Linked DNA regions of Lepisosteus oculatus. The protein of the gene in region 4 interacts with the protein of the main gene of each other region in a pairwise test. Links are inferred from orthologs where the notes say so. Each region holds a gene or a part of one and is shown on either strand. Other genes may lie near its edges.

The links.
Region 1: the proteins of ndel1b (region 4) and mrc2 interact in a two-hybrid assay, tested with the Homo sapiens proteins (2 studies listed by BioGRID and IntAct). The link is inferred for Lepisosteus oculatus from reciprocal best matches to the Homo sapiens genes NDEL1 and MRC2.
Region 2: the proteins of ndel1b (region 4) and kalrna interact in a two-hybrid assay, tested with the Homo sapiens proteins (2 studies listed by BioGRID and IntAct). The link is inferred for Lepisosteus oculatus from reciprocal best matches to the Homo sapiens genes NDEL1 and KALRN.
Region 3: the proteins of ndel1b (region 4) and serine-rich coiled-coil domain-containing protein 2 interact in binary tests that used the Homo sapiens proteins (3 or more experiments, as listed by UniProt). The link is inferred for Lepisosteus oculatus from reciprocal best matches to the Homo sapiens genes NDEL1 and CCSER2.

What each region holds. Positions count from the first base shown.
Region 1 is NC_090723.1:138,154-145,456, forward strand, and holds the start of mrc2 (C-type mannose receptor 2), read left to right. Parts: upstream 1-4,279; 5' UTR 4,280-4,553; coding exon 4,554-4,665; intron 4,666-7,303. UniProt on the Homo sapiens protein: May play a role as endocytotic lectin receptor displaying calcium-dependent lectin activity. Internalizes glycosylated ligands from the extracellular space for release in an endosomal compartment via clathrin-mediated endocytosis.
Region 2 is NC_090707.1:11,601,653-11,608,756, reverse strand, and holds the start of kalrna (kalirin), read left to right. Parts: upstream 1-4,087; 5' UTR 4,088-4,908; coding exon 4,909-4,975; intron 4,976-7,104. Other genes in the region: ropporin-1-like, read right to left, coding at 596-711. UniProt on the Homo sapiens protein: Promotes the exchange of GDP by GTP. Activates specific Rho GTPase family members, thereby inducing various signaling mechanisms that regulate neuronal shape, growth, and plasticity, through their effects on the actin cytoskeleton.
Region 3 is NC_090699.1:28,717,147-28,724,507, reverse strand, and holds the start of serine-rich coiled-coil domain-containing protein 2, read left to right. Parts: upstream 1-4,350; 5' UTR 4,351-4,430; intron 4,431-7,361. Other genes in the region: sparcl2 (SPARC), read right to left, coding at 685-757, 1,774-1,830. UniProt on the Homo sapiens protein: Microtubule-binding protein which might play a role in microtubule bundling.
Region 4 is NC_090704.1:43,782,698-43,790,205, forward strand, and holds the start of ndel1b (nuclear distribution protein nudE-like 1-B), read left to right. Parts: upstream 1-4,493; 5' UTR 4,494-4,582; coding exon 4,583-4,652; intron 4,653-7,508. Other genes in the region: RING finger protein 222, read right to left, coding at 2,087-2,749. UniProt on the Homo sapiens protein: Required for organization of the cellular microtubule array and microtubule anchoring at the centrosome. May regulate microtubule organization at least in part by targeting the microtubule severing protein KATNA1 to the centrosome.

The DNA.
Region 1 (7,303 bases), on a different chromosome or scaffold from region 4:
CAGAACAGGAGGCGTTCTGTTGTTCATGCTTTTGTGAGGCATCCATGAGCTCTCAGTGAGGGTCCTTGGCCATTGCTGTTTCAATGGATCCTAATTAACTCAACATTTTCTTCTGTTTTCATACTTACATGCTATAAGCTGGGCGGTGCGGTGGCTCAGGATCTGTGCCTGTGGCTGGAAGGTTGCTGGTTCATATCTCGTGGCCGGCAGAGGAATCCTACTCTGTTGGGCCCCTGAGCAAGGCCCTTTACCCCAACTGCTGTATGAATGGCAGACCCTGCGCTCTGACCCCCAGCTTCTCTCCCCGTCTGTGTGTCTCATGGAGAGCAAGCTGGGGTATGCGAAAAGACAAATGCCTAATACAAGAAATTGTATAGGGCCAATAAAGTGATCTTATATATATCTATAGCTTGAAGAAACAAAGACCAGGCATTCTCTGAGAGAATAAAGAGGCTAGCCATAGTGTCCTAATAGCGATGTCACTCATGGATAAGGACCATGATGCTTAGTATTTCTCAGATGCTTTCTGTCAGGCTTTGGACACTTTTCTGTTTCATAATGACTATAAAATGCTTCAGAATGATAAAGCAAATCAACTACACAGACCATTATACTAATAAGGAAATTGATTGTTTAGTGTTATTTGTTTAACAGTTAGTCCTGTGTAGCCATGTAAAATATGTATACATATATAAATCACATTATTATTATAATTATTATTATTATTATTGTTGTTATATTGTTGTTAGGTTATACCTTTATCCAGGTTATCTAGCAATGCATACAAAGTTTGAAAGAAGTGTAAATACACAAGCAGAGTAGAGTGTTAATGCCAACTGGACAAGCACAGTCGAGCTAAAGTAGTGTTTAAAACCTGTGTTATGGGGGATAACAATGTGGTTTCCCAATTGCTCTTTTTTCTCACACCTGAAGGCCTTGAATCCTCTGTGTTTGCTGCCAAACTCTCTGCAATGTGTCCTCCCAAGAGGACGATCTGAATCGAGGGCGGCACCTTTGAAGAGCTAGGCTCTGGCTTGATATGCTGTGCTTGTTCGATGCAACAATAACATTGACAACATTTCTTATAAATGAAATAAAGACATTGCTTGCCTTGCCAGTTTGACCTCTGTTTCATGTGATTGCTGAAAAGCTGCTAATAACATAGATAATTTTCACAGATTTTATTAGCTTTTAATTGCATCCTTCTGAACAGTGTCTTTTTTTCAGAAAAGAATCAGCTTTGTTTCTCAGAAACTTCTTTTTACTTGTCATAAAGATGAACATGAACGCAATAAACAGGAATCAGATAGTCCTTCTTAACCAAGATAGTAATTATATCACATGTTGATAAAATAAAAATATTAAATAATTTAGTTTTTCAATGTTAAATGATTGAAGTTAATATAAAAGTTAAATAAATTTGGAAATATAAATATTAAATAAAAATAAATCCTGATGGTCCACTATTGCCATTTTTCCACAACAAAGTAATTTGTGTGAAAAAGGTCATATGGAATCAATCCTCCATAAACATTCAGACATATAGCCAGTAACTAGGTTATGGTTAAAAAGTACAACTCTTCCACTGTAGAAGATGTTTTAGTACAATCCAGTCTGGACCTGTATTAGACTGGACCACAGACAATAAGCATGTCTGCGTGACTGGATGTGTGTGATCACAGCAGAAAAAGAGACAGATGATGTTTTGTGAGCAGTGTGTTACGCCCTTTCCAGTTGTAGAATTATGAATCAATTCACATGAAAATAGCTATAAAGAGTCAATAAAAAGTTAATGGTTTTATGTATAGCTAAACTGTTTTGATAAAGACAAGAATTTACTAACTTGATCCTAAGGGCATACTTCAGGTACTCACTCAGTACATAATCCATACAATTTCCAGTACCATTGCAATAAATACTGCTCTTGTAAGGACCCTCCAGGAAGACTGCAAAGAGGAGCTGCTAGTTGACTGTCAGCAGGAAAGGTTGCAAAGAGAGCATATTTCATCCCATCTTACTGGATAAAGGTCTTCTGATCTTGCTACCATCTTTCAAGATTCTCCCTAGAAGCATAAATAACAAAAAGAAAACAGTTTTTCAAACAACAGCTCAACTAAAATATTAGCTTCTTCTGGTTTATTACTAACCTCTCACCCAATCGCAATAATAGCATTAATTAAGTCAGTCAGTGGAATCATGCTCTCCTGATCTTAAGATTCTGTCTTCCTTCAAATAAAAAAGATGATTGTCTGTAAACTTTTGTCAAATGATTCTAAAATTTATAAATGTTCAGCACAGTAGAAAACACCCTGTTACAAAAATTACATCTCCCAAACAGAACGGTGTACAAATACGTAGTGTGGTGTTTTAGGGCTGACAAAAGTAGATTTCTTTCTGCTTTCTTGATCAATAATGGGAGGTTTTTGGCAGGGTAGGCCGCACAGGAAGTGAGAGTGAAGTTACTAGGCTCACTTCTTTGGCACAGGAGAGGCGTAGGCAGGCAGTAAAACTTTCCTCCCAGTAAGCTCAACATCTGAACAACTGCCAATACTGACTAATTAAAGAAAAGTCAAAACCACAGGCTGAGCCACAGGGTTCCACTATGGAGATTCAAGATTCTCTGCACTGATTTGCCAGTGAGGCAAAGAAATGTGAAAGGCCCAGGGTAATTCACCACTGTTTAATTAGCATTGACTTTGCACTGGATACCAGTTAGTTCAATTTGTTTTTCACTGCCAGCCAATAATATTCATCTGTGCCAATTGCTTTATTTTAAGAATTTTATTAAGAAAAAACAAAATCCATTCAAATCTCTGAAAGAGGCTGCTATTTTAATCAGAGTTTCTGCCAGGTACTTTATATTTGTGTTTTAAATTAATCTGAATGACTATTAGAAAAGGTACAAACAGAAGAGGCCATTTGGCACATCTAGCAGTAACCCCATAGTTATTTCTAATGTCTATATTTAGGACAAAATCTTTCAAAACCTTTAGGTCAAATTCTTCATACTGTAGGTATGGTATCAGCCTTCATTTCCACACTGAGGTTACACTAATTTACACAAAATCTAACCAAATGATCTCTTTCTTCTTACAAATGCTTATACAATGTTTCACATGTGAACTTGTGAACTTGCACAAGACCAAAGTTACGTTCCTGGCTCTTTATATCAACTCCACAAACAGGTCTTAGTATATCTACTGTATTGATGATCATGGAATCAGTATAAGTACTTAGGTAAGGAATCCTGGGGTTATTTTGCCTTGAATGTGAAGCTCATATTCACATTGTAGTTAAGGTATCTTTGATCATTTCTGTAACATGGCATCAGTAGACATCTCCCCCTGTTTCATTTTTTGTCTTTTCCAGACTTAATTATTGTAATGCAGTTCATATTACCATACTCATACATTAAGAAATTGCAGTATATTCAAAACTATTGAACTATTGAGTTGATTTTAACTAAAACTAAAATGCATTAGGACATATCATCTGTGTTAGTGTCCTTGAACTGGCTAAGTGTGCTTTTCAGAACAAAACTGATCATTTCTACTGTTCTCCTTTAAAGGTTTGAATAGTTTAATTCTTGACTACACCAGTGACCGGTTTGCTCCCTTCTTTCTGATCACATTATGAGGTTCCTGGGAAACACCAGGAGATAGACATCCCTGTTCAGCTCTTCTCCAAGACTGTGGAATGATGTCCCATCTTGTATCACGTCCTACATATCAGTCAACACTGCCAAATTCTCTTAAATTCACATTTATGCTCTAATGTTTTCTTGTTTAATTTACAATTCAAATGTGATTATACATCTCTTTTGTTTTATGGTACAGCTCTTTGAGATGATGGCACCATGATGTACCATGAAAGGTGCCATATACCTCAAAGTCTATCATTATTACTACTACTACTACTATACATTACTAGGGCCCATTACTAGGACAGTGCTACGGATTTTACCAACTAAGTGCTGGCAGTTCACGTATTTATTTTGTGTCTTCACGTGGAAGAAGAGGGGGATAACAAAACGTCTATTAGGTGAAATAATGAAATAATTTAGTTGGTAAAATTATTTTTAAAAAGTATTGTAACATACGTGGTTCAAAATATCTAGATTGTAAATTACACGGTAAATGAGTTTATGGAAATGGAGAGCCAGACCCAAGACGCCGAACCCGCCTCTCCAGTGGCAATAATAGATTTGACGAGAACTAATCGCGACCTGTTCATGTGGGTCCAGCAATCGTGCTAATTGAGGAGTGGGAGGCCAGTCCTACCAAGCCGAGTAAACGCGGGCAGGTGGTCTAGCCTTACTCTTGCACCGCGTACTAGTTGTTTCAGGTGAGGGGGTCTAGCCGTTCAGCAAGCCCTGGCGGTGGCGAGCTCTGCCTCCTCCAGCAGGAACTGCGAGGGGCGCTTGGTGACGCAGCGTCTGCGGCTCCTCCAGTCCGGCCGCGCTCACAGAAGAGCAGACTCCTCACCCAGCGCCTCTCTGCTCATCACTGCACCCCGGCACAGGCACGACAGCCCACCTCTCCGTAACTCTGGGCATGCAACGTAGCGACCGTCAAAAGCTTTCTCCATGGACTCGCTGCCGCTGCTTTTACACATGCACTTTATATTTATTTATTCTTAGTCTGGAACTAAGGTCTGCCATCTCAGGTAAGAATAGCTCTTTCATCTTATTGCTTTTTAAAAGTTAGCGTGCCTGTTGAACAGTGCGCCGTGTTCGTTTTAAAATGTTTAAAATGTTTTATGCGGATTTGGTATCGGGGAATCGTGGCAAGTATAGTTTTGCTGTGGAGTAGCTGATGCAGAGGAATGCCACGAAAGTCCAGAAACTGAGTAAAAACAGATGTGCCGAGAGAGCGAAGTATTCGAAGGGGGGAAGGGACGTGCTTTCATGTTGAAAGGATTTTCTCCCTAAAAAGAGCTGCGTCGCAGGATAATAAATACGGTTTAAACTGTCTTTGATTTTTTCACAACTTTTTTTTTAAACGAGTTTACATTTTTTGCAAGGAATTATATGGCACCCAGATGTGACATTTAGTATAACCCTGTTACGTAATTTTTCCTTTCCAATTTTCGATATTTTCCTTTTCAGACGGTATTGTATCCTGTAACACTTAACTAAATTTTCTTGAGGAAAAGTGAAAATCGAGTATTAAACGGAGACTTTTTCTAAAAGCCTTCATTTATGTATTCTAAACTATATACCAATAGAAGCTTCTGAGACAGTTAAGTCTGCTTTAAGACCCCCTCTTACAGGGAAAAAGCGTTTTCTGTGTTGGGGATCTGCTACGAGTAGCAGTGATAATATTGGAAAGTATGAAGTAAAGGTTTAAAGTCACTTCCTAGATCTAACTAGAAGTGTAATTTTATGGATTTTAAGACGCTGGCCACCAGTATATAAGAATATGATGGACCATGTTCATGCACAATGCATTCAACGACACAATCACGATCTGGGTATTTTCTCAAGTGTACTGTTGCATTTGGTGTGGCATTTATGTACACAATTATATTACATTAAAAGACTGAGGAAGGATATGTGGCCTCTTCCTACGTGTAGTCCTGTGATTTCTTTGAGAAAGGTTGCATGGCTGGGTGATATCTGACTGACTCCCACAAACCTTTGTGTAAAGTGTCTCCTGTTCTTAATTTTAAAATGCCCTTTTCCCTTGTTTCTTCTTATGTCTTCTGGTTTGTGTTTCACTGATTCAAAAAGTACATTGGGTTGCCAATTTCAGTTTCAGTATTTCAGTTAACTTAGTTTTCTCTGCTTAAGTAAAAAATAGTTACCCTGGACTTTGTCCAGAGATGAGCAGCCAGATAGATGTCTAGGCTTGAAGAATGAAATGCAAACAGGCAAAAAGAAGAAAATATGTGTTTTGTAATGTGTTGACTAAGATTGTACGTAATATTCTGTATATTCATTCTGCACTGTTTTGGAATGGACTCTTTTTTGTTTATATTACAATATTTTGGTCTCTTTTGTCTATCTTCAATTGTGCTTGTACTTCTCTTTAATTGTGTCCATTTGTAAAAAAATCAATAAAGAGAAATATGCTTTTCTGCTGCTTTTTTAACCTGTGTAAATAAATCCTATCAATGCAGCACAAAACTAAAGGAGTAAAGCAAGGGAGAGCCAAATCTAGTCTAAGATATGGTGAATTTCAGAAAGCAGGTTTGAATAATGAGCAGAACTGTGGAGGCCTGTCTTTGCCTAAGGAGGCAGGGGAGATGAAAAGAGCTCCACTGAGTATTATTTACTTCTAGTCACCACATCTAAGGACAGGATATAGTAAAAGTGCACAGAAAGGCATCTAGAAAGTCACTGATCTGCAACATAACCTGCATCAGATGAGACGTTTTACCCTACAGCAGTGAGCACTTACCCAAGATCCAACTGAGGCTTTCAAAACTTTAAACAAGACTGAGAAGCAAACTAGATATTTAATTTACACTAAAAACCCAGGATCAGAGGGCATAAGTGGAAGGTAAGGAAAACTAATTTTGGCACTTGAAACAGAAGTCATTCTTCACACAAAGCTATTAATTTATGGAGTGAGCTGCCTACTCCCGCGGTGGAGGTACAGTCACAGCAGTGAACTCTCACACATGGAACAACAGGCAAGCACAGGGGAGGCCCAGTGAGAGGTCATGTGGCCCTGTTACTATGATTGCATCTACTGTAGCCTTTTTCTAAACTATACCAGGCAGCCACAGCTTTTGTTGAAACACCTCCAGTTTTTAATCCATTTGTCAGATTAATCAATGTAGTAACTTTGTGGATTTGCTGTAAGCATGCACAGTAGATTAATTTCCCCCCAGACCATGAGGGATAGTTTACTACTGTTACCTTAACAGTCTTCATTGGCAGAAGCATGTCTGTGCTTTATTTTGACATTGCACTAAGTGGCATTAGTATTACAATATTTTCTTAATAAATTAGTCTAGCCACCCTACTGTATGTTACGTTCTATTAAATGGTCATACAATGTGTGTGCTTTTCTTAGAAATTGTCTGCAAAGTTGTTGCTCTTCATCATTGACTGCAAAGGTTTAGATGCTGAAGTTTGTGTTTGAAGTGAAAAGGGATGAATCTTTAGAAGAGCTGATTCTTTATTTCCTTGCATCCCCAATTATTTTCTATTGCTGCTAATGGCTGGGATATCAGGACTTGAAATTGCTCTAATATACAGCTTTAACCACTTGAAATTTGACCCCATGACCCTCAAGAGTCCAAAACCCTAACAATTGCTCTACACTGCTGCCTGCAACTGCTTAATGTTTTTTGT
Region 2 (7,104 bases), on a different chromosome or scaffold from region 4:
GTTCCTCTCTTTGTTTTCCTTTTCATTTGATTAAATATCCCCTACATAAAGCAGCAACTGTGTAAATATATTTTTTTCTTCTCACACAGCTATTTGATAAACTGATCATAAGAGCACGTTCACTGTGCCATTAATGAAATCAGGTTTATCCCAGAAGAGGAGATTTCAGAAACACATAAACATCATTAGTGAAACATTATTCTATTTAATCTGCCATTTTTAAGATAAGACTGGGTATAATCTCACACAACAGTTAATAAAAGTTATATATTCTTGGTTCCTAAGTACTGTGTTTACAATAATATAATTTAAATGTAAAAGTCTAATAAGCATACTACAAAGGAAAAACACCTCTCTATAAAGCAGATATGCTCCTCTTGGAGTAAGTTAATAAAACCTAATGCTTGTACAGCTATGGAGTATTTTTTGAGAGAAAAATATTGAAGAAACACTTAAGCTATCACTGCTACCTACTGTAAGTTGCAGGCTTTTCATTAGACCTATGAGATCCCCACTTCACAAGAGGAGAATCTATACTGCAATATTTGATTCCAAGCTGTTTTGAGTGCAGTATTTCAATAATGGAAGAACTTACATAGAAGACCACTCTAGCAGATCGGCTGGCTGTGTTCTGATAGCAGCTTTAGTAAACTGCTTCAGAATGTCTGGTAGCTCTGGTGGGATGATGACTTGCTTTCCAGAAAGAGGCATTTCAGTGCCCAATCTTAAAAGATCAAGATGAAATGCATATTCATCAGAAGAAAACCAACGTAACAAAAACAGATGCTAAGAGTCTAAAATTGCTACAAACAGTGGAAGGTGTCAGACCAGCCTTTTCAAGGCAATACAAAGTACATAATCGCGAAATCAAAACTATCAATCTTTCACCAAGAAACATTTTTTTAATTAATGAATTGCCATGCATTTCAGAACAAACCAGAAATAGTCAAATTAATATACGTGTTCCAATATCTCTTTCTGCATCTCGTTCCTTTTCACTTAATATATAGAAAATGCGCCAATACAAATAATAATGTATTTTATACAGACTACACTGTACATAAAACTATCACAGCGCGATTTCTTAATCAGGTCTATAGACATCTCATTAAATGAACTGCGTGTCTTGTTCTTTTCAAACCTGTTTTTCTGTCCGTTTTCTAAACAGTAAGTGCAGCACGGACTGGGCTACGTTTTCATCATTCCGATTACAGTGTGTTTAGTGCTCTAAAGACATTTTTCAGTTTAAAAAATCAAAACATCGCCTTTTATCGTGAATCCCCACAAGTTTACCGGTATGTACAGGCGACAGAGTCTATCATATGAATAAGTCCTTAAATCGATGCAGACCACCTTCACCATAAAAAAGTACTTAAATAATGCATTTAGAGTATATCAGTCTGTAAAAGTTAGAATAAATACAATCGTCTCCAGACCTCTAGACCTTGACTTTTCTGAACAATGCCCAGTCGCTCTAGTTGATAGTGTCGTCAAAAATTAGAAACTTGAGAAGAGTGTTCAGGTGTGCAGCTGTCAGATGATTTGACCTGATGTTTAACAAGGATATTTTATTCGGTACTGTGTGTATTGTGATGTAGCTGTGACGAGATGGGAGACAGGATTTCTTAAGTAAGCTGTGAATACTGTACATACCGTACCGTTTCATCATGGCAAAGTAATTTAAAACATTATTTTACATTGTAACGTTCCTAATTATTCCATTCTTATTTCCGCGTTAATCGGTAGCAACGCACTATTCTCCAGAAAAACGGAAAACCGCCTTTTCTACTATAAGAGAATTGTAGACTATCTAGGCTTCAAGAGGGTGACGTCACCTTCTGCAATAGGTTCAGTTCTACGGAGCCTTTCTAGGATAACATGAATCTGTTGGCTAACAAGCTCTTTGCTACTCCTTTTCCTTTTGTTACAAACCAAACGGACAGAAGTTCTCTTTTCTCTTACAAATAGTATTCAAAGTATAGCTTTAAAAATAATATGAATTGGTAGAGACCAAACATAATTAACTGTGTACGATATGACCGTTCCAAAAATGTAATATTGTTAATGTCTAAGTCTACAACACCAATGAAAGCCTTTTTTCAAAAGCGTTACTATTCTTTTAATAAATTTGGTGTTTCTATGTGTAATGTGTTTGCTTATAAAGAATGTTTCCAAATTATATATTTTTATCAACTTTTTATGGCAGGGAGCCGTTATATCTTACAACTCATACAGTATGTGGTAATCTTGGAGTAACGAGAAATCTTCTGCAGTACTAGTCGTGTATAAAATATACCACTAGGGGGCAAATTATCTCTATTTTTAAAACGACAATGGACTCGATTTTCCTGTAATTTATGGCCCTACAAATTTTGAGTCACCACAAAATCTTTATAACCTGCTATTTTCTTCGCTTTAAGTTTTTTTTCTCCTTGTCCATACTTGTTTCACTTATTCTATTCAGTGGCTTAGCTTTACAGAACTTCTCATGTTTTATCCTTGTATGAGTCACAGCTGCTACCTTGTGAAATTAAAATACGGTTGGAACCACAACTATTGGCATAAAGTCTTTATACTAAATATTTTGTATAATAGACGTTTTAAATAGAAGAGGTTCTTTACTGACGTTTGGCGGGGATAATGGCAAACAAGCCAATTTCACCCAGTTGTTCTAAATCATAATCATGAATAATCTGTATCACAAGTAAACACCTCTTTTTCGCATTTTGTCTCAGGCCTCCTCTATCCATTTTTACAACCTACCCCTTGGTGAACTCCAATCCTCATCCTATGGGCAGGGGGCTATCTCAAAACCGAGCAGTTTAATGCCGAAACGTATTATACTACAAAATACTTAATATTCACAAATGAAATCATTATTGGATGTCGTTATTCCTCGTGAATTCTTACCACTTCAACGTTTATTCAAACCCTACATTTTTCAGTGCTAGTTGACACATGTAGGCACATTATTGTAAGATACATGTTGACAATAGTTAAGCCGGCCACTGCTCGGTGAAGCCGCATACATAACTTTTTACATACCTGTGAGATGAGCTCATTTACTATAAATTATAACTATTCCACCACTATTGTTTTTCCAAGATGCCTACCTTTAAAAGAATCCTTCACAATACAATTGAGAGTTTAAATCTGTAGAAAAAAAAGAATGTTGGACACAGTAAGAGCTTGGCACGCTATATCCCAACTGCGTTGTCTGTTAACCAATTGACTTATTTGTTACTACAGTATACAGTATGTGTAACAGTTTAAGGCCTCCACGATTTAAAAAAATATTTTTAGATTGCAAGTACGTTACTGAAACAAAATTAAAGAATTGTGCATCCGTTAAGGTCAGCGATGCTTAGTAATGTTAGCTTATTCTATGACATTACATTCTTTCAACGAAGAATGGAGTAAGAAACGGGTCTATGGACATGTTGTAGGTCTTTTTCCCCCCAAATTTACAATGTTCTTGACAATTTGTTGTCGCTTGGAGGCGGTAGATGACCAGAACTCTGGTTGAAGATAGCAAAATTGCCTTCGTTTCTGATAAAAAAGGAGCTTCGATTTTCAGATACAGCGTGCCTTTCCCATGACAGATGGTTAGGGCTGTAACTAGTATAACGTCGCTATATCTGGATTCCGGGAATATACAGAATTGCACAGCCTGTAATCATTTTTACCACCCAAGTCGGTTGTGTGTAAACACCCAGACATTTAATGACATTTGGGGGATATGAACTGGCCGCTCATTGATGAATGAATCGGGTGACTCACCCTGCACACACAAAATGAAAAAAATATGTGTGCCAAACATGGTATCTTCTATGACTCATCTGCATGGCTATTAAAATAACTGTACACATACCGTGCATTCCTGAGGGCATGATGAGGTCAAAACAGGAGTGCAACACAAAGAGCCCCGAACCGAAGCTGGCAGGAGCAAGTTCTTTAGGCAAAAATATCGCGTGAAATTCAGGTACTGCAACTCTGGTTGTCGAAGTAATTGGACTTTCTGTGACTATACACTAGATGGTCAAATATTTCTAGTTGCATAAACTGGGAGCTGTATGCTGCTAGACCTGCCTACGAATATATTGGTTATTAATACGGGAAAAAGGAGGAGACGGGGTAGTGAGAAGGAGGGGTGAAAAAGGGTGCGGAAAGTCACTCATTGTCAGAAACGTACACTTATTTTAGTCGCTTTCTCCACACACGAACAGACGTACTGCCTTTGAGAACAAATGAGGTTTGTTTAGATAAGGTTGCTTTCGGAATTAGCAAAATGTAGGTACATGTTTATTTACATATATTTGGACACAGGGTGATATGTTATCTCTACCTACTCAGGCTGTGTCTCGGCACCAGAAACAGCATATTGAAAAACAGAAATCCGACGTTGTAACTACTGTATTTCAAGATCAAAACCCCTTGCTCTGCACCAGTCACTTACATTATGCAGATTTGTATGACATCACTACAATATACTGCCAAGGTACAGTTCTAAAGCAACCATACGCTGATTCCTTACTCTGTGCAGCTAATTGTAAGGATATATACAAAATAATCTCGAAAATGTGCAAACGCATAAACTAAACACTGCACATAGCTGCAACATAATTTGCAGAACAATTTATTGCATCCTCGTTATGTGTCACATGTGCAGTGGATTGCTTTTGTGGCGCCGGAGCTGCTAGAAAGAGGAGGGTGAATTCTGAACAATAGAGAGAAATGCAGCGCTGTTCTTTGTAATAACACGGACGGAAACCCACGATTGGAAAGCGAACAGCTGCGACCAGGAACACAAGAATATGGAGGGGATCGTGCACTGATTCTGTGAGACACATCACTGGATATACTTCGAGTTACATTTTCCTTTCTGAAATCCACGGGAGAAAGAAGAAGATGAATTCAGCCGAAGCACCCGATGAAGGACTGAATGATTCGGATGCAGACGCGTTTTTCAAAATAGGTAATGGGTTATTTTTTTTCTGTTATCACACATAACTGAAAGGAAATGATTCTGCAGCATCCTGTGAAGGCGAAATGTTAATTATACATTGTGTACGCCTGAGCATGTATTGACCCCTGTATTGACACTGAGTAAAGGAAATCAGAAAACACACGAACGATCATCACTTCGGCCTCAATAGCTCACGTTATGTATTGTACCGGGTTGAAGGAACTGGGTTCCCAACACTCCTGGGAGAGAAAGATTATTTCGTTTTGTGAGAGAGGTGGATTAAACAGGAATAGGATCTCGGAATGTATAGTTATATTAGCTGGTATAGGTGCGTTTTAACGTATGTTTTCTTTCGTGTCGGTGTGCACAATCTTGGCTGATCTTAGATTTTTATAGCCTATAAACAGGGAGTGACTGAATGAGAAAAACATGCCACATACACGCAAACAAGCATGTTGCTGCCGAATACTTACATGTAGTCTATCCCCGTTCATTCTGTATATTGTGCATGTACGTATGTATGCAGCCATTTCTGTCTTTATTTGCCTTTCTGTACACACGTACACATTGGATCAGTGTACACATACATAAGCAAGTGATGTGTAGGTATAAGTATGGTAATTTAAAAGTTAAACTGTTAAACGGTTCATTCAGGGAGTGATACATTTAAATATAGAGGATTAGTATCAACCCATGCTTTTGCACATTGTAAAACCGTAACGAAACTGTCACCTTAAAATTTATAATCGTGTAGCAGTCCAGTTCTTTATACTTATTAAATATATTATTTAAGTTTATCCATCCTGTTGCGTTTTATTAGTATAATTCAATATGATACAAATATGGAATACATCGATAATTTATTATTGAGAGTGAGCACATGAATGTAACCATATACAGTATCTGTATTTTCCACCCTAATCTTCTCTTGTCTCTTGTTATTGTAGTTCCTAAAATGTTTTGGTAGATATAGTTAAATAATTTAGATTTCCTGTTGACAAAGTGATTGTAGGTCCTGGAGAGGATTAAACAGAAAAAGGGAGTGTCTTCAAATTACCCATCACCCTCATCAAATATGTTTGTATCCTTTCCTAGCATAAACCTTCCTTTTGAGGGTGTTTTTTTATTCTGCACATGCAATGGAGATGTTAAAACATTAAAATCTGGATTAATCATTAAATCCATTAGACATCTGCTCTTTGGAGTGACATCTAAACCATGAAGTCAAATAATCTGTCTGAAACCACCAGACAATTGAACACCATTTGCACTTTGGGCTGTTCCTTGACTGAGAGATTCTGGTTTCACTATGGTGACTGTATACCCTCTAACCCCCCAAGCTGAAACTTAGACACAAGCCACAGGATAGCCTTTATAAACCTTAGCTAACCCTATTCGTATTATGCAGGTAAAAATGGCACTTTTTTAAAACTAAATTCGTACTGTAGCATTTGTGTGCTGTTGTTTTTAATTCAGTTTGGATACATGGTGCTGATGTTGTCAGTCTCTCTGATAGCTAGTGATGTAATACTGGCCAAGTCAGGGTTTTTCAATAAAGAGCTTACGTTTTGCTGTACCATAGAACCTGTTGTATACCCGTTTAAGTTCAAAGGTGTGTTTTCATTCTCGTGGCAATTTCTTACAGAGTAACTAAGAACAGAAAAGTAGAGCCAGCTGGAAAAACAAACAAACAAACAAACAAATTATTTATATGAGAAAACGCCAAACTGAGTTTAATCAAATAAATCCTATAATAACGCTGTTTTTGCAGAAAATGAGGGCAGTGTTATATCAGTGTGTTACAGCTTTGTCAAAGTAGGCCAAAGTTGGCGCAAAGGTGTGGTTTTCCAACATATAAAAGTTTCAGACCAAGTAAGAAGAAGGTTTCTTTTATTCTTTATTTGGTCCACTTATATGAAACCTACCAATTTCTGTTTAACATGCTCTATCAATGGGAGTATTGTGTTGCTTTTAATTTTAGTTTGAATTCTACTTACATGACATGACAGAGTGAAGAATTCAGACAGGTTAATCAAGTTATTGATTCATGACAGCTTTTACACACCAACATATTTTAGTTATGTAGTAAGTAGTTTTATTTTTTTTATGGGTGCAATAGAATTAATACAACTGTGTAT
Region 3 (7,361 bases), on a different chromosome or scaffold from region 4:
ATTCCTTCAGAATTCTAGGTACATCCCAAATGTAATTCCTGCTCCCCTTATTGATCCAGATCATTTCATTACCTTAGTAATGAAGTATAAAGAAGCACATTCCTGCAGTGATTTTTAGTGATTTTGTTTTAAGATAATAGCTAATCTTGATAGATCTATATTGTGCAGTACAAAAAGAAGCCCTTTAGCTTTACAGGTGTATAAAAAGTAAAAAAGGATGTTAGCAGTGCTGACAGTGATTCTGGAGATTTGGTTGGTAAATGTGTTGGTTTAGCCACTACAGTACAGTATATATACAGTATAGGCTGCTCATGTATAGTTTACCTGGATTTGCTGATCAACATGATTTTAGGATTCTGATCAATGTGAGCTGGAGTCTGCTAAATGACAAGCCTGGTTTTCTTCTGTTATTGAGAACTGTCAAAGTTATTATACTAGTAAAAAACACTTAGTGGAGGTTTTCAATAAACTGTAGATGTTTCATTATCTAATTATCTAATTAATTCAAATTCTAACACTAAATCCCTAACTATAAAAAAATAAAATAAATGAATGGAATCATTTGCATTTATGTAGCATGTTATATCCTACAGTATCCAGAGGTGCTTTACATATAGATCCACCACAGCAAGGCAGCTCGTACCTGGGTCAGATTCTGTAACCCCCTCAGATCGTCAGACTCACCTGGATCTACACGCTCCACGTATGGCCTCAGAGTCTCCTCTGCCAGTCTCTGTCTCCGCTGGGCCCTGCCCGCCTGGAACACAGCACAGCGTTTCCACACACTCACACTCCTATCTGTCTCCGGCCTTGCTCAGCCTGTCCTTGCTCGGATCCTCTAGCCTGCCTGGTCCCAGTGTACAGTCCTGACCAGCCCCAGCTGCGTGAGTGTGAATTCTTACCTCTTCTGTGTGATCTGATCCCTCATTCCTTCCTGTTTTTATGTTTCCTATCAAGCTCAAGCTCAGGGGCCCTGCTCCTCACATCAGCCCAATAAGAGCAGGAGTCTTCACAATGGAGAGGCTAGCCTCTCTCCGGCTCAGCTTTGTAGTGTGTGCCAGCACATCTGTCCTGGCCCAGGTCCAGTGAAATGGGAAACAGGTGTTCAGCCTGGTCAGTCACATAGCCCGAGCTCAACAGACTCAAGCACAGGCATCCGAAAACCCAATACAAATTCTGAAGAATAGCAATTCGGCAGTTCAGTTCGAAATACCATATAATGAACAAACGAGCATAGAACGAGAATCTAAACACTTAAACATGTTTGAGTACTTGCTGTAAATGTTTCAAAGCAAATTCTCAATTATTTTTTATTGAAGAACAGAAATCTTTTGTCAAGGCATGCACCACTTTCTCCATGTGTGCGCAGTGGCTGCAGAGGGACAGCAAAAGACTCTGTGTCCATCAGTCTTCTCCAGAGCTGCTGCACTGTCCCTGCAGACAGGCTATGCTGAAGAGCCCATCTGTGAGGGAGCTGCAGTGTCAGCTGGTCCGAGGTGTCTCTCTGTACCTGTAACAACTAAGTCGCAGGTGTGCAGCATGTGCAGTACTCAGTGCTGTTTACACCCTGAAGAATAGTAGGTCTGCCAGCTGATCATAACATAGCCTTTCTGTAGTTTAATTTTTCAAACCCTGTCTTCAATAAATAGGAGCACACTCAACAATGCTGAAGCCAAGTGATTGTGTGCTGTGCCTCATCAGTAGATTAGCAGCCTAGGGCTGTTAATACAGCAGGAAGCTGGGGCTGTGTGAATCTGCGGGGTGATTACTCACAGTGCTGGGTTCAGGGTGCAGAGTCAGCAGGAGCAGCAGTGTCAGGGCCAGGAGCATCGTCAAGTCTTCAGGCTGAGCTGCTAGGAGTGTTGGAACACATTAACAACCCCGCACCCACATCAGTGGGCATTAGAACAGAAGCACATCGAGAGGTCCATAGGAATTCTGCTTGTTCTGATGCTAGCCTGATCTACTGGTACTCAGGGGAGAATAATACGACAAAATTGTTATTAGGATTAGGATTGGATTCCCTGGCTGTTCTTGCAACAGAAGTCTTTCCTCTAACAGTCAAGTGGTAAACTGATAAGGTTAACTGCAAAGAGCACAAAAACAGAATTCAGACACACTTCACTCCCAGATCAGAATTATTCTCATTAATGAATTATTGTTATAATTCACCATGATTTCTGTGATACACACACTCAGAGACCCTCTTTCACGACACATTGATGGGCGGGACAATCAATTCATTGCTGAATCCACACCACATGGCACAACAGGTAAAGAGCAAACATAAACATTCTGAAGCACTGCACAAGATGATGATACACCATATAAAAAGTGTTTTCTCCTTTTTTTGTTCTCAGTCTCCCGTTTTTTAGTTATATCCCAGAAAGACACATCAGTAACAATGCGACAAGACCATTGCCATGGTGAGGCAATCACTGCTGTTCTGGACAGGAATATGAGCACTATAGAATCCAATGCAAGATACTGTAATAATCACCACATTTAATTTTTAATTTATTTAAATAATCAGTCACATCTTACCTGAGCCAAAGACCTTCTTTCTGTCTCTTTACTTTTCTGTTCGTTCTTTCCTCTGTCCTCTTTCTGTTTTCCAGAAATCTCTCTCAAATCTCCCCTCTACCCCACCTCTCTCCCCCCACCTGTCTTTATCTTTCTATCCTTCACTTTCATGTGCACGCCTCTTGTAGCTCTGCTTCTCTTACCGTAGTGCTCGCAGCGCCAGTCTCAGGGTTCACCGTCTATCGCATTCCTTCATTTCTTTCTCTCCTCCCCCTGTGTCTTACGAGCTCTCCATTTCTCCTTTCATCTGTCCCGTTTCTGTCCCTGTCTCACGCACAAAATGACAGACACAGACTGGTTAATAGTCTAAATTTAGATGAAAAAACTGCCGGTTCTTTCCCCATCGTTTTCCCCATCCCTTAAACACTTCCCAAGGAAGACAGGTTTGCTGGAGTATCCATGTGTTCAAACTGCCCAGTAAATCATAGTGTTCATGGACCTCTGCCAGCCACAGCAATGAGATCCATCCCCTCGCAACCAGAGCTTCTGTCTGTGAAGGCAGGGCTTACATTACCTGAACTGCAGCATGATCTTCCCTACCTGTGGTCTCTCATCATTTATTAATATTCTTAAAAAAGCTGGATTTTAGCTTCCCTTGCAAACTGCTCAGACTATTCATCAAATGAATCTGGATGAACCTTTTGTCTGTTAAGGTTCTTGGCAACACAAAGACCCAGTAGAATCTGTATAATATTTTGCTCCTGAGAAAAAGCCAGTTATGTTGATTTATCATTAAATCAACTGAAAATGAAAAACAAAAAGTATTTAAAAGACAACTATTTCCTCAGCTTTTTTCAGCCAAAGATCATAAAGTGTGTTTCATGGTTCAGTTGTCTTTTGCAGAGCACAATGTTAAAATAGTATTGCACAAAGACTATGACCTAGACCCTACTAGAGAGCCTGGATATTGCAGGTACTGTTTACCAGCAGAGTAACCACCTTGTAGTCTGCATTATAGCTCACTTCAGTTTATTGTCATATGCACAAGTGCAATGAATTGCTTATTTGCATGTATTCTCCAATACAAAGATATTAAATGAACCACCAAAAACATAAAAACAGAACAGCAGCAGCAACAACAACAATTTAAATAACATACAATTAAAAAACAAATATAGGTGTGGGTAGGGGTAAAGTTCAATAATCTGACAAGAAACTGTCTCTGAACCCGCTCTTAGAAACTAAGCAAGGCTGTATCTGATCATTACTTGGATGGGACAGTTCCAGCAAAAACTAAGTCACTACTGTGAGGGGTGTTGTTAGTCAAGTAGGTGGCACTCTTTCTTCCAGACTAGGATTTTGTTCCTACTGTAGACAATGTTCTACAGTAGTTTAGTGACCAGGAACTCTGTGCTTAAGGAGGTATCATCCATCTGATAAGACATTTAACCAAGATCCTGACTTTTATGACTCAGTAATAAAAGATCCCATGTTGCACTTTTGGCTTGTTCACTCTGGCCTTCTTAACATTCCCCTTAATTCATTCAGTTAAACTATTTCTCACCTGGATAGGTAAGGTGTGTAGTAGGGCTGCTGGTACATTTTAGCTGCTATGTGTCATCTAAGGGTTATATCAGGGGTGGCTGATATAGGTCCCTCATGCTGTGTAGTGGAATGCTATGAACTCTCTTACAGTATGATGAATTAGTCAAAATCTTAAATTGCGCAGGCAAGCAACTGATGATGTCACAGTACCAGAGTTGTGACATCACAGACATTTCCGTGGTGACAGGCTGAGATCACAGGGCATTTCAGAGTTGCTTCCCTTTTATTAGAAAAGTATATTGAAAAGTGACACCAGTGTGGCATGCAGGACTAGCAGGTATAAGGAAATGTAAATCTACCAGGTAGGTGCTGTTTCTGACCTGTTTGTAAATATGTTGATTTTTTTTATTAGGGAGAATGGAGTGTGTAGAGCTGAGACTGGAGGTGTTTCAGCTGCTGACAGCATCTGTGTTCAGCTTGCAGATGGACAGATGTTTTAGTACAGGACAAGGAGGGTACAAATCTGAAGCTGGAGAATGTAGTGGAATTTTCTTGTCAGTTCTGGAGATGTGCTTATAAAATGTAGTCAGTTACAGTTGCAAGTTATTCATGTTATTAGTTTTTAACCAATTAGTTGTGAAGAAGTTGCTACAAATTACTTTTATGAGGTGAAGTGTTATTTTAAAAGCAAGTACACACACAGCCAAATCTGTGGTACACAGCTTTGTTTTGGAAGGCTCTGCAAGGTGTTATTCCATTTTTACTGTTAATGACATAGTTGACCTGATCATTAGCTGAATTGGACCAGGTTAATTATTTTCAAAGGTCTCAATCATTTGATGATTTAAATAGACCTAGAAAACCTGCTTGGTTCTGGTCCTCAAGGATTAGAACCCTGCACCTATGACTTGACTGATTAGGTTTAAAAAATAACTTTAACTAAATCCTTTTTAAAAGAAATGTTCCAAAAACTGCTTGTTGGTTTAGCTTCTGCACAGACTTAGAAACCTATTCCTTTCCTTCACCACTGCTTTGTCACTTGTTCCAGATAGAGGAGAGGGACTATCCACAGGTATTTTCCTACTGGGGCAGCCCTAACCAGTGGTTGCTGTTCCAAAAGCCTCCAACAATTTAGATAATTGGCTGTTCATTACTTTACTTGCAATCCCAACTTAGTCGGACCTGCAGTGTGTATATGCCTGTGTGCTTTACAGTATAAAAAGTGACATGGATCTACAGAAGATTGTTGTCACTAAAGAAAAAGGAAATGCAGAGAGTGTTGGAAAGGATAAAAAGTTGGTAATCCCACGATGATTCAGTGAATGAATTCAATATCTATGTCACAGAAATTACTGTTGTAGTTCTCTATCATGCCTACATAGGGAAATGGCTGATATTAATTTGATATTGTAAGATATTGCCACCTTGTGGCTGCATAGAAAAAACACTAATAACACACTAGATTAAGGCAATATATGCAAAGGAGAATTAGACATTTAATTAGACAGTTCTACTTTCTGATATGGTGAAACAGTCAAATCTAACTTATATCCCATCATTCAGATCTATCTGTTGTGTTGTGGAAACAGCTTTAAAAATGAAATTTAGATAAAGCTACAGAACACGCTGTCCTAAGGAAAAAGCTGAATATACTTAAACGTTTTTCTACAAAAAAGTGTCCATCTACACAATTTCTACACTGTTATGCTGCTTTAAAAACATTTCAAAGCTACTTTCAGATTGTATTTGAGGAAATACAGGCTTTTATAAACAATATAGCAGCTAACAATAGCTTTGAATAGAGTTACATACTAGATTTAGTGCCTGATGTTGAAAGTAACATTTCAACATCTTTTTGTTCTTGGGAGGATAAAATAAATATTTTGCAAGGCTTTTTACAGGCTGTATTGATAGAAAAAATAGCTGTGAGAAGGACTCACTCTGCTTTTACAAATTATCCCTTACTGGATTGAAAATGTCTGTCTATGTCTTTACTCAGTACATTCTTCAGTTTCCCAATTTTGAGAAATAAACTCATCACACCTCCTGTCTTTTTCTGGGTCTCGGGTGGATAACATGGTTATTGACTGAAATACAAGAAATTCTCAAACAAACAAACTACTAAGACTGATAACTATTCACATTCAAAGAGCTTTATTGGTATGACTGATGAATTACAGCGTTGCCAAAGCAATAACAATCAGCAAAACATTTACAAACATTCAGGACAGTGACACAATATCATTATCCGAGTGCCTCATTCTCCATTTCCAGGGCACAGTAACAAAATGCACTTAATTACTGAGTGAAAGAACAGTCCGTTCAGTAGGTTGCACACTTCTGTGTCCCTGCGTGTTCTTGTCTGAAACAGTGCTGCGGCTCGTGAGCGTGTGTCTGCCTATGTCAGTGTGTGGCCTCTGGCTCAGTGTTTGAGCAGCAGAGGTTCAATGCCAGCAGACAGAGAACGCTGTAACAGCTTGCTTCATTTGCTGCAGTAAGACTAGCTTTCCCAGGGCTGGGGTGTTTGGACAGTTTATAAAACATTGGCTCAGAGGGGCTGAACCCTCATTGTCTCCTCTGCTTTCCTCCATGGCAGTCTATTTCCGTCCCACTTCCTTCCTTTATTGCACCAGATGGAAAATTGGCATTGCAGTCAGGTACCAGATATAAAACAACGCATAATACATTTAAGAGACGTCTACAAATAAGAGACATGCATGCAGAAAATGAAGAAAAACATGTTTTAGTGGCTTACGTATCCTTTATAATTAAGAAAAAAACAAATTGGATCTTCAGTGCATGAGATAGATACCTAAGATACATGATGCAAAAAATTAAAATATACAATCTGTTGTCCAGATTAAGCAGGTAATTAGCCATGGGAATAAAGGATAACTTAGTCCTATTGCACAAGTTAAATCTGGTATTCTAAATCAATGCTCTGGTAGAAGGACCTCACATTAATTGTGCAAGGGATGGTCATAACAGTCAGTGATTATATTGGCCTTCCTCACTATTTGTTTGAATATTTGTTCTTATTTTCTGTTTAGATTCCTCCCCCTCACAGCCCGTTTGTCAGCTTCTTCGGCTCTCTCTCCATCTCTAGTACACCTTCTCTGTCCTCGTCCTCTTCTCCCTCCTCTCTCTCTCCATCCTCTCTTTCTTCCTTCATCACTCCTCCCGCAGCGGTCAGGCAGGTGGATGAGGAGAGCGTTGCTTTTCCACCCTGCTCCTCAGCCAGTCTCAGGTTTCTGTCTGGATTAAATTTTCATGGGCCACGCATTCAGAGTTGC
Region 4 (7,508 bases):
TTGTTTATGACCTCTAGGCATTTAACATAATCTTCCTGTTCAAGAACAATATGTGGTCTCACACACCATTTACTGTAGCTTATAAAATCAGTGAGGCATTTCAGTCACATGGACATTGTAAAATGCCCTTGTAGGAGGACCTCCTTAGCAAAACAAAACAGAAAATAACAAGAACATTTACTGGGTGCACATTTACATCCTACCTGTTTGAATTTACAATATTTCTGCACAGAAATAAAGCTGCAAAATAGGGAGGTACATATGAAATGAGAGTCCTCTGAATGTCAAATTAGAGGCTTCAAGGTGCAGATTTCTACTGCACACGTGGAGCAGCCCAAGGATAACAATGTACTGTAATTGTCCGCGCTTGAAAAAGCAAAAACATTAAACTGCTGAGTTAATGACTTGTGTTGGTCTCAGGAAGACTGAACTTTTGTGGTATACTTTGTTTCCTAAACCATGTATTATGTTGTTTTAGTGTAGGTTAAGGGAGAGAGGGTGTGAAGCTCAGTTTGGGGATAGCGTTATAACGGGGATTAAAGGGGAACTGCAGTCGCAATTTCTCCAAGAGGTTATTAAATCTCGGTAACAATTAATTAATTACTTACTTAATTGATTAATTGACGGTATTGCACAATTTGACAAATTCAGAATTAAGCACACTGGAAATACCTCACCGGAAATTTTGTTGTCTCATTCTGAATCACAGACTACAACGGCAATACAGCGCTGCACATATGTGGAACTTTTGTCTATTTTGTGATGTAAATTGGAGGTTTAACAAGTTACTGTGCACGTTTTACTTTCATTCTGTTTGAAATCCACTCACCAGTGGTGATTCTTTCTGACCCCAAAATATGAAAATAGCTTTTCAGTGCCCATTAAGGATGGGCCAGTTTACCTCCCAGTATGTCTGTGGCCTGTGGGAGGAAACTGGAGCACCTGGTGGAAACTCATGCTGACACAGGGAGAACATGCAAACTCCACACAGACAGCAGTCTGGGAATTGAACCCAGGGCCCCAGCACTGTGAGACAGCAATGCTAACCAATGTGCCAATCTTGTTTAAAAAAACTGCTCGTGATTTTCTTTTGAGAAATAAAACAAGATGAGGTACAGTGTACTTCATTACTGCCATTGTCACTATTTAAATGACATTGTTAACAGAAACAAGTATATCATGAATCATAAGCATCAAGGAAGAAGACTTGTTTTTACACAAAGGATCTGCTTTCTGATTAGGACAGAAAATGCCTGTCACTATCACTTCACTGAATTCCCCTTCAATATCAACCGGAGAAGACAGTTTGCACGTTCAAGGGTCATAGGAAGCATTCAAGACTAGAAAGACTGGGTAAAGAAAAATTAAGACAAAATGAAAAAATACGATTTTTTATTTCACAGCCGTTTTCTATCAAAATAGATACCACCAGATGTGTACGCCTCGAACAATAAACATTTAAACACCCAAGGATTTATTTAAAAAAATCTTTTGAATAATTTACCAAAAAAAAAGCCCTAATTTATAGTAATATTACATCGCTATTGTTTAATTAAATAAAAGCGGAATTGTAATTAAGTACATTGCCATCATAACTTGGTCAACTTCACAGAACGAGCGATGATTACGACAGACACTGAAACGGATATTTCTCAATAAGACAGACAATGAAATACTGAAGGAAGTGCAATGAGTGGTTTCATCCTGTCCGATTCTTAAGTGGAATATTACCCAAGACGGAGTTTTTTTTTTAAATCTCAATATGTCCACTTTGTATCTAATCCCATAACCAGATAAATCAACTGAAAAGAAAATCACGTTTATGACCACACGTTTATACACACTTTACTGGAGCAAAAGGTTGTTTGAAGGTACAGCATGAACGAATTTACTTCTTAGTGCCTTTGGCCGTCATTAGATGCACCTTTTTGCATGTGCTAACGGGGAAAGAACGAGCAAACACTTGTATAGTGACTTTCACAGCAATCAGGCTTTACAGCTTTACGGCTTTCAAGGGAAATCGGCGCATCAGAATAGGATGTGATGTTAGTGGAGGACGCAGCGGTGGGGGAATTGAAAACGTGAGCTATCTCCACATTGTACATTGAATAACCGCTATCACCACAGCCGCCACGATTGCCGCAACGAGACACGTAAGCACCCATCGCGCTGTGGCGCACGTTAGTCTACTTCGCCTTCTTGGGACGGGAATCACGGTGGTCACTGCCGTCACGCTGACCGCGTCCTCGTCCGCCATGGGCCGGCCCTGGCTGGTGATTGTGAAAATCTGGAGGGTGGGGGCAGGGCCGGGCGGTCGGGAGCTGACCCTTCTCGACGAAGCCCTCCGGAAGAACCACACGGCTCGGCTGGCTCCGCTGTCACCGGCCCGCGGGGGGGCGCGGCCGGCGGCGTGGCGGGCCGGTGATGGCGGCGGAAGGGGGTGATGGAAAGGGGGTACCGGAGGAGGAGGAGAGAGGGTAACTTCCAAAATCTGCGCGTCCTTCCTGGCGCTCTTGACCTTCACAACGTCCTCCCCCTGTTCGGTGAGGAACGTCAGGTGCCTGCACATGGGGCAGATGATGTGCCTGGTGATGTGCCCACTTCTGTTGGCGCCGACCAGAGTCTTGACCAGACAGTCGTGGCAAAAGCCGTGTCCGCAGCTCAGAGTCCTTTTGTTGTCCTTAAGGGTCTCGTAGCACACGGGACACTCGTCACTGCCGGCCCCCGTGCTGTTATCCCCTGTAGACATGCCTGCCGTTTCCCACTTCACTCCCCCAGGAGGTGACTGCAGTCAGAGCGCATTACAGATCACCCCGCATCCCAAGCGATTCTCCTCCAACATCGAAAGAATGCCCCGACTTCCAGCTCCACTACAGTATGTCCTTCTCAGAGCCCTGTTCAGCCCTGCGCTCGCCTCATCCTGAGCCCTGATTGTCTTTTAACTGATTGTCACCAGTGTGGTGAAGCGATACGCTCCCGATCCAATATTGTGTCAACAAGCCGGTTATCTTAATTCACACACGACATCGAGCGCCTTCGTGACCGCCAAGGTGCGCCCACAGATTCCTTTACATTGGACGATCAAAAGGCTGAAAAACCGGATTGTCTTTGGACTTTTTGTTTTACTTGAATTCAATAAATTACTTATAAAACAGCCCTTATGAAAAATACTTATATGTTTATACATAAACGAAGTCTGATTTCTGCAGAGCATTTTGATGTTCTGATGTAGGTCATCTATAGGTTAAGGGACAACACTATATATTTGTTTATACAGCACATTCCCCGGAATTATCACGAGTTAGGTGGAATAGATACCTGACCACGTTTTTTGTTTTCCCCTGTAGAGGTAACACAGGTAACACAGCTGAGTGAAAGGAGTTCTGAAACTCGGAAATAAGCGTATACGGTTGATAGCACTTACGCAACATTTTCAAAATACTGAAAGCAAACGTAAAATCATAAATATAAAATCGCGATCAATGAATCTGTTATTAAGAACTTTGTCCCTTTGTTAAGAGACAAAACACTAAAAGACCCGGCTCTCACAGCACTAGATTTGTCACTATTTTAAAACGGTATTTATTGTTAATAGGGTAATTAGCCACTTTGGGACTAATTGAGAGGCACTGTGGCTGTGATTAATTGGCTCTTGTTGGACGGTGTTACTTTTTCTGTAAACTTTTGTTTTGATAACCACTTCTAAAGTGATAGAAACTTTTACTTGTTTTCTTGTGTAATTTAATATGTAGTACATGCAATACGTTGTTTGGGAAAAAAAGAACACCAGATAGTGTATTTCCCCTTTTTTTCTTTTTTTTTTACACGAGTCGGGCATTTGGCGGCTGCAGATCTTCCACCAGTCGGCGCACGACGATAAAAAAGAAACGAAACATTGGAAAAATACGGCTGTTTAATTTGGGTGCCGATTTTTAGGTAGACATAGGTGCGTGACATTGCTAAATTAATTTCTAAATGAACGGGCTCTCCATTCGTTTAATTGTATAAAGCATTTAAGTTCTACGATTTTTATTAAGTTGCTAAAAATGACATTCATACGTGTAAAAAAAAGAATTCTCACGACTCAAGAAAAAATGTGTGGCTGTAGTCATAGCATTAAAAAAAAGTATCAAATGATATTTCCAAGAAATCTGAGTAATCCTTGAATTCCAATCGGTGTGCAGTTGCGTCACCCGGAGGGAAGGCCGTGCGCGTCTGTGACGTCACGTCGTGCCGGAAGTTGCGTGACCCCGGTGGAGAGGGGCTGGAGAGCCGAGATTCAGTTACTAAACAGAGAGGAGACAGGGGATGTGCTGAGACCCAGACGCCCAGAGGGATACGGGCCGGCGATGTTCAGGTAAGGACTAGTCTCCACGCTCCGAAAATGCCGAGCAGGGTTTGAAGCGGCGTGTATTTTACGCGGAATGGCTGCGGTTCGACGGGGGGAAGGCGACGCCGTCGTTGTTGACAGCCGACTTCTGTCTGACGTGTCATGTTTCTAGGCAGCAACTTGAAATTCCCACTTGCACAAAGATCGTATCTGTGGCTGGCTTGAAAATATGTCACCGAGATTAGAAAAAAAATGGTGCGGTCTGCTCTAGGTCTTGTATGGAGTAAAGGGCCGTTTTTGGAGACGTCAGGTAGCTCTTCGGGTATGTATTTTTAACTTGTTACTCTAAACAACTTGCGCTTCACCTAGTGTGACTCGAGCTGTATGTTCTTTTGCCCGTAGATGCGTGTCCGTTTGTCACTTTTCCAAAAGCTTTGGTTTTTACAAATTGTTGACTCGTAATTGTGAGCTAACGAGGTTAGCTCCGTTCATTTCAAAAGGGACGATGCTAAATTAGCTTATTCAAATCGTTTTTTGTAGGTTGTTAGACTGTCATTGCTTGAGATGGGCTGTGTACTTTCCTCGGACACGACTGTTATATGTTAGCCTCTTAGCTTTTTTTAATGTTCTCCAGTCTTTTCCAATGAAGACTCACCAATGGTACCGGTTTTTGATTCTCGGGTGCGGCTTGTCCCATATTACGTTTCTCGGGCTTGAACTGCAAGAGGGTCAGTCTAACCTCTGATGCTCCCGCCCTTCATCCGTGTTCATTGGCTGGGATCAGGATGTGACGTATACATTTCGGTTTTAATTGGGTAACATGACTGCCACTCAAACGGCCCTGCTGTGTGCAAGTTCCCCACGCTTGACAGAAATAAACCCATGAAATGTAGGATTTATCAATCACGTTTTTTTTTTTACAAAACTCTCTATATATCACATATCGCGTAAAGATGACACTTTCGTAATGCAAACCGTTGTCACAGATAAACAGAGCTGTCCTCTCTCTTGTTCGTTGATTCTAGACAGTCCACAACGTTGAACTGGAATATTCAGACTGAAGGAAGTGTTTTTAAAATTCTTATGTCATTCCTGTGGTTTATTTGAAGTAGCGTCTGTTTAAGCCTTCGATAGTGTGTATGAGTTCAGCACAGTAAATTTAAATTGGTATTCTTTCATATTAATAATGCTTGAATAAGAAGGTGACATTTCACATAAGTTTATCAATTTACATTGATAGGTTGTTTACCTTTTTACAACTGACCTAAATGTGAACTATTTATAGAATCATGGGAACATGGTTTTTGATGAAATGTCAGCCAGGAGATGACCTCCACATGATGTCTTTTAAGTTTTAATTTCCAGCAAGTTGAATCTCTTCCAGTTTGTTGTATGGACTTTTATTATTGGGTGAATCGTTAAATAAAAAGGAGAATGAAATATATTCTTTTTGGTCTTAAGGCTGAGGAGTGAAATTTTGGTTTTCAGGACTCTTTACTGCTTCCTGAGTGGGAAGTTACTGTTTTTACTTTCGCACTTTAACGTTAATCAACTTGCTATTGCCCTGGTGAATGGGCATAAATTGGTAAAAGAATGTATCGGGCTGACACGGTTGTCCAAAACAGCAGATATTTGCACCCATTTATACATCTGTGTGTTTTACTGGAGAGGCTGAAACAAGTCCCGATCTCTAACCATTGCTCCATACTGCTGCACTAAGTACATAAACAAGCACGGCACTGCTGGCCTGGCAGGGATCGAACCCACGTCCTGGGTGTTATTAGTACCACATGTTGACCAGCTACTGTTTTATCTCTCAGGACGTCTTGTTTCTCACAGCAGGATGGACTACATCATGTGTTAACCTAGGAGAGGGGTGGGTGAGAGAAGTTTGCAGAAGCATCTCATTTGTCCAATATCTTCCTTGCGGCTTCACCGCAGTGACTCAACTTGGCCCTGTTAAGACGGAGGGAGAGAAAAGGCATAAATTGCTTTCTACCATATTAATGACATCCAGATGGGCTGGGGTGGCTAGAATATGTGCTGGCAGAGGTCGTGCTGGTTTTACTGGAGGTGACGCAATAGTTAGATCATGAGAATCTGTAAACGTGGACTTTGGTTTGTTGCTTTAACTTTCGTTGTAGTCTCCTGAATGAGTTCATGTTCTCTTATGCAGGGTGTTCTTCTAATCTAGCTTTTTGTATGTGTGGTATCCTAATGAGATTTTATATTTAAAATAGACTTATGTATAGAATGTGTCCTGTAGTGAAAATGTATATACCACATAATTGCTGTACTCTTTCTTGCCATTTATTATTCTTTGGGCTTCTTCTGTCCTCACTGTCTGAAGGTAAACATTTAAACAGTCCCGAGTGTCAATTTCTGTATTGCATTACACATAGTTTCACTTTTTTAAACTGTCTAAATAAAGCTTTGCTCTCATGTTTATCTTGTGGGTGAATTCATAACACTGCTTTAAATGTGATTTGGGTTTGTGATCCCTATAACATCAAGAAGTAGTAAGTCAGTCTTCATGGCTTTGATTTTCTAGTATGTCCGTAGCTCACCTATCAACCAGTTTCTCCTTACACAGTGCATTATAAAGACGTGTATTTATTGAGAAAATCCTGCTGGTTCATCTTAAGTCATGAATGCAAACCACCAAAGTCCCTGTATCTTATAACCAATCTAACATAGTTGGTATTGACAAGTTCCCCAATTAGTTTATACTTTACTGGATTATTATATATTATGTTAAAATGCTTGGAAATTGAAATTCTTACCTGAACTGCCTATAACGTTGAACAGGGAAAGTGTGTTAAAATCAGTCATTGATTTGGCAGAATCCAGTGTTTTTGTTTATTAGTGTAGAATGTCCAAAAAAACAGAATGTCGTTACTTGGTTATCATAACAATAGCACTGTGAAATAGTAACTTCTATTCATATATATATAATTTTTGTACTTGAGAATATAGAAGTCCAAGTGTTGTCCACTGAGAAAGGGGAGTGAATCAGAACATCTGAGGTAATAGTGTCCTGTCCAGGTCCTGGAGCACCGCAGTGCCTGTGGGTTTGTGACCCAGCTGGGCTCTTAACCTCCGTTAGCAGCTTAGCTGGACTAGCTTGACTTTTCAGGTGTTGGTCATTTTTAAGACTCACTAAGATCATCTGATGTAG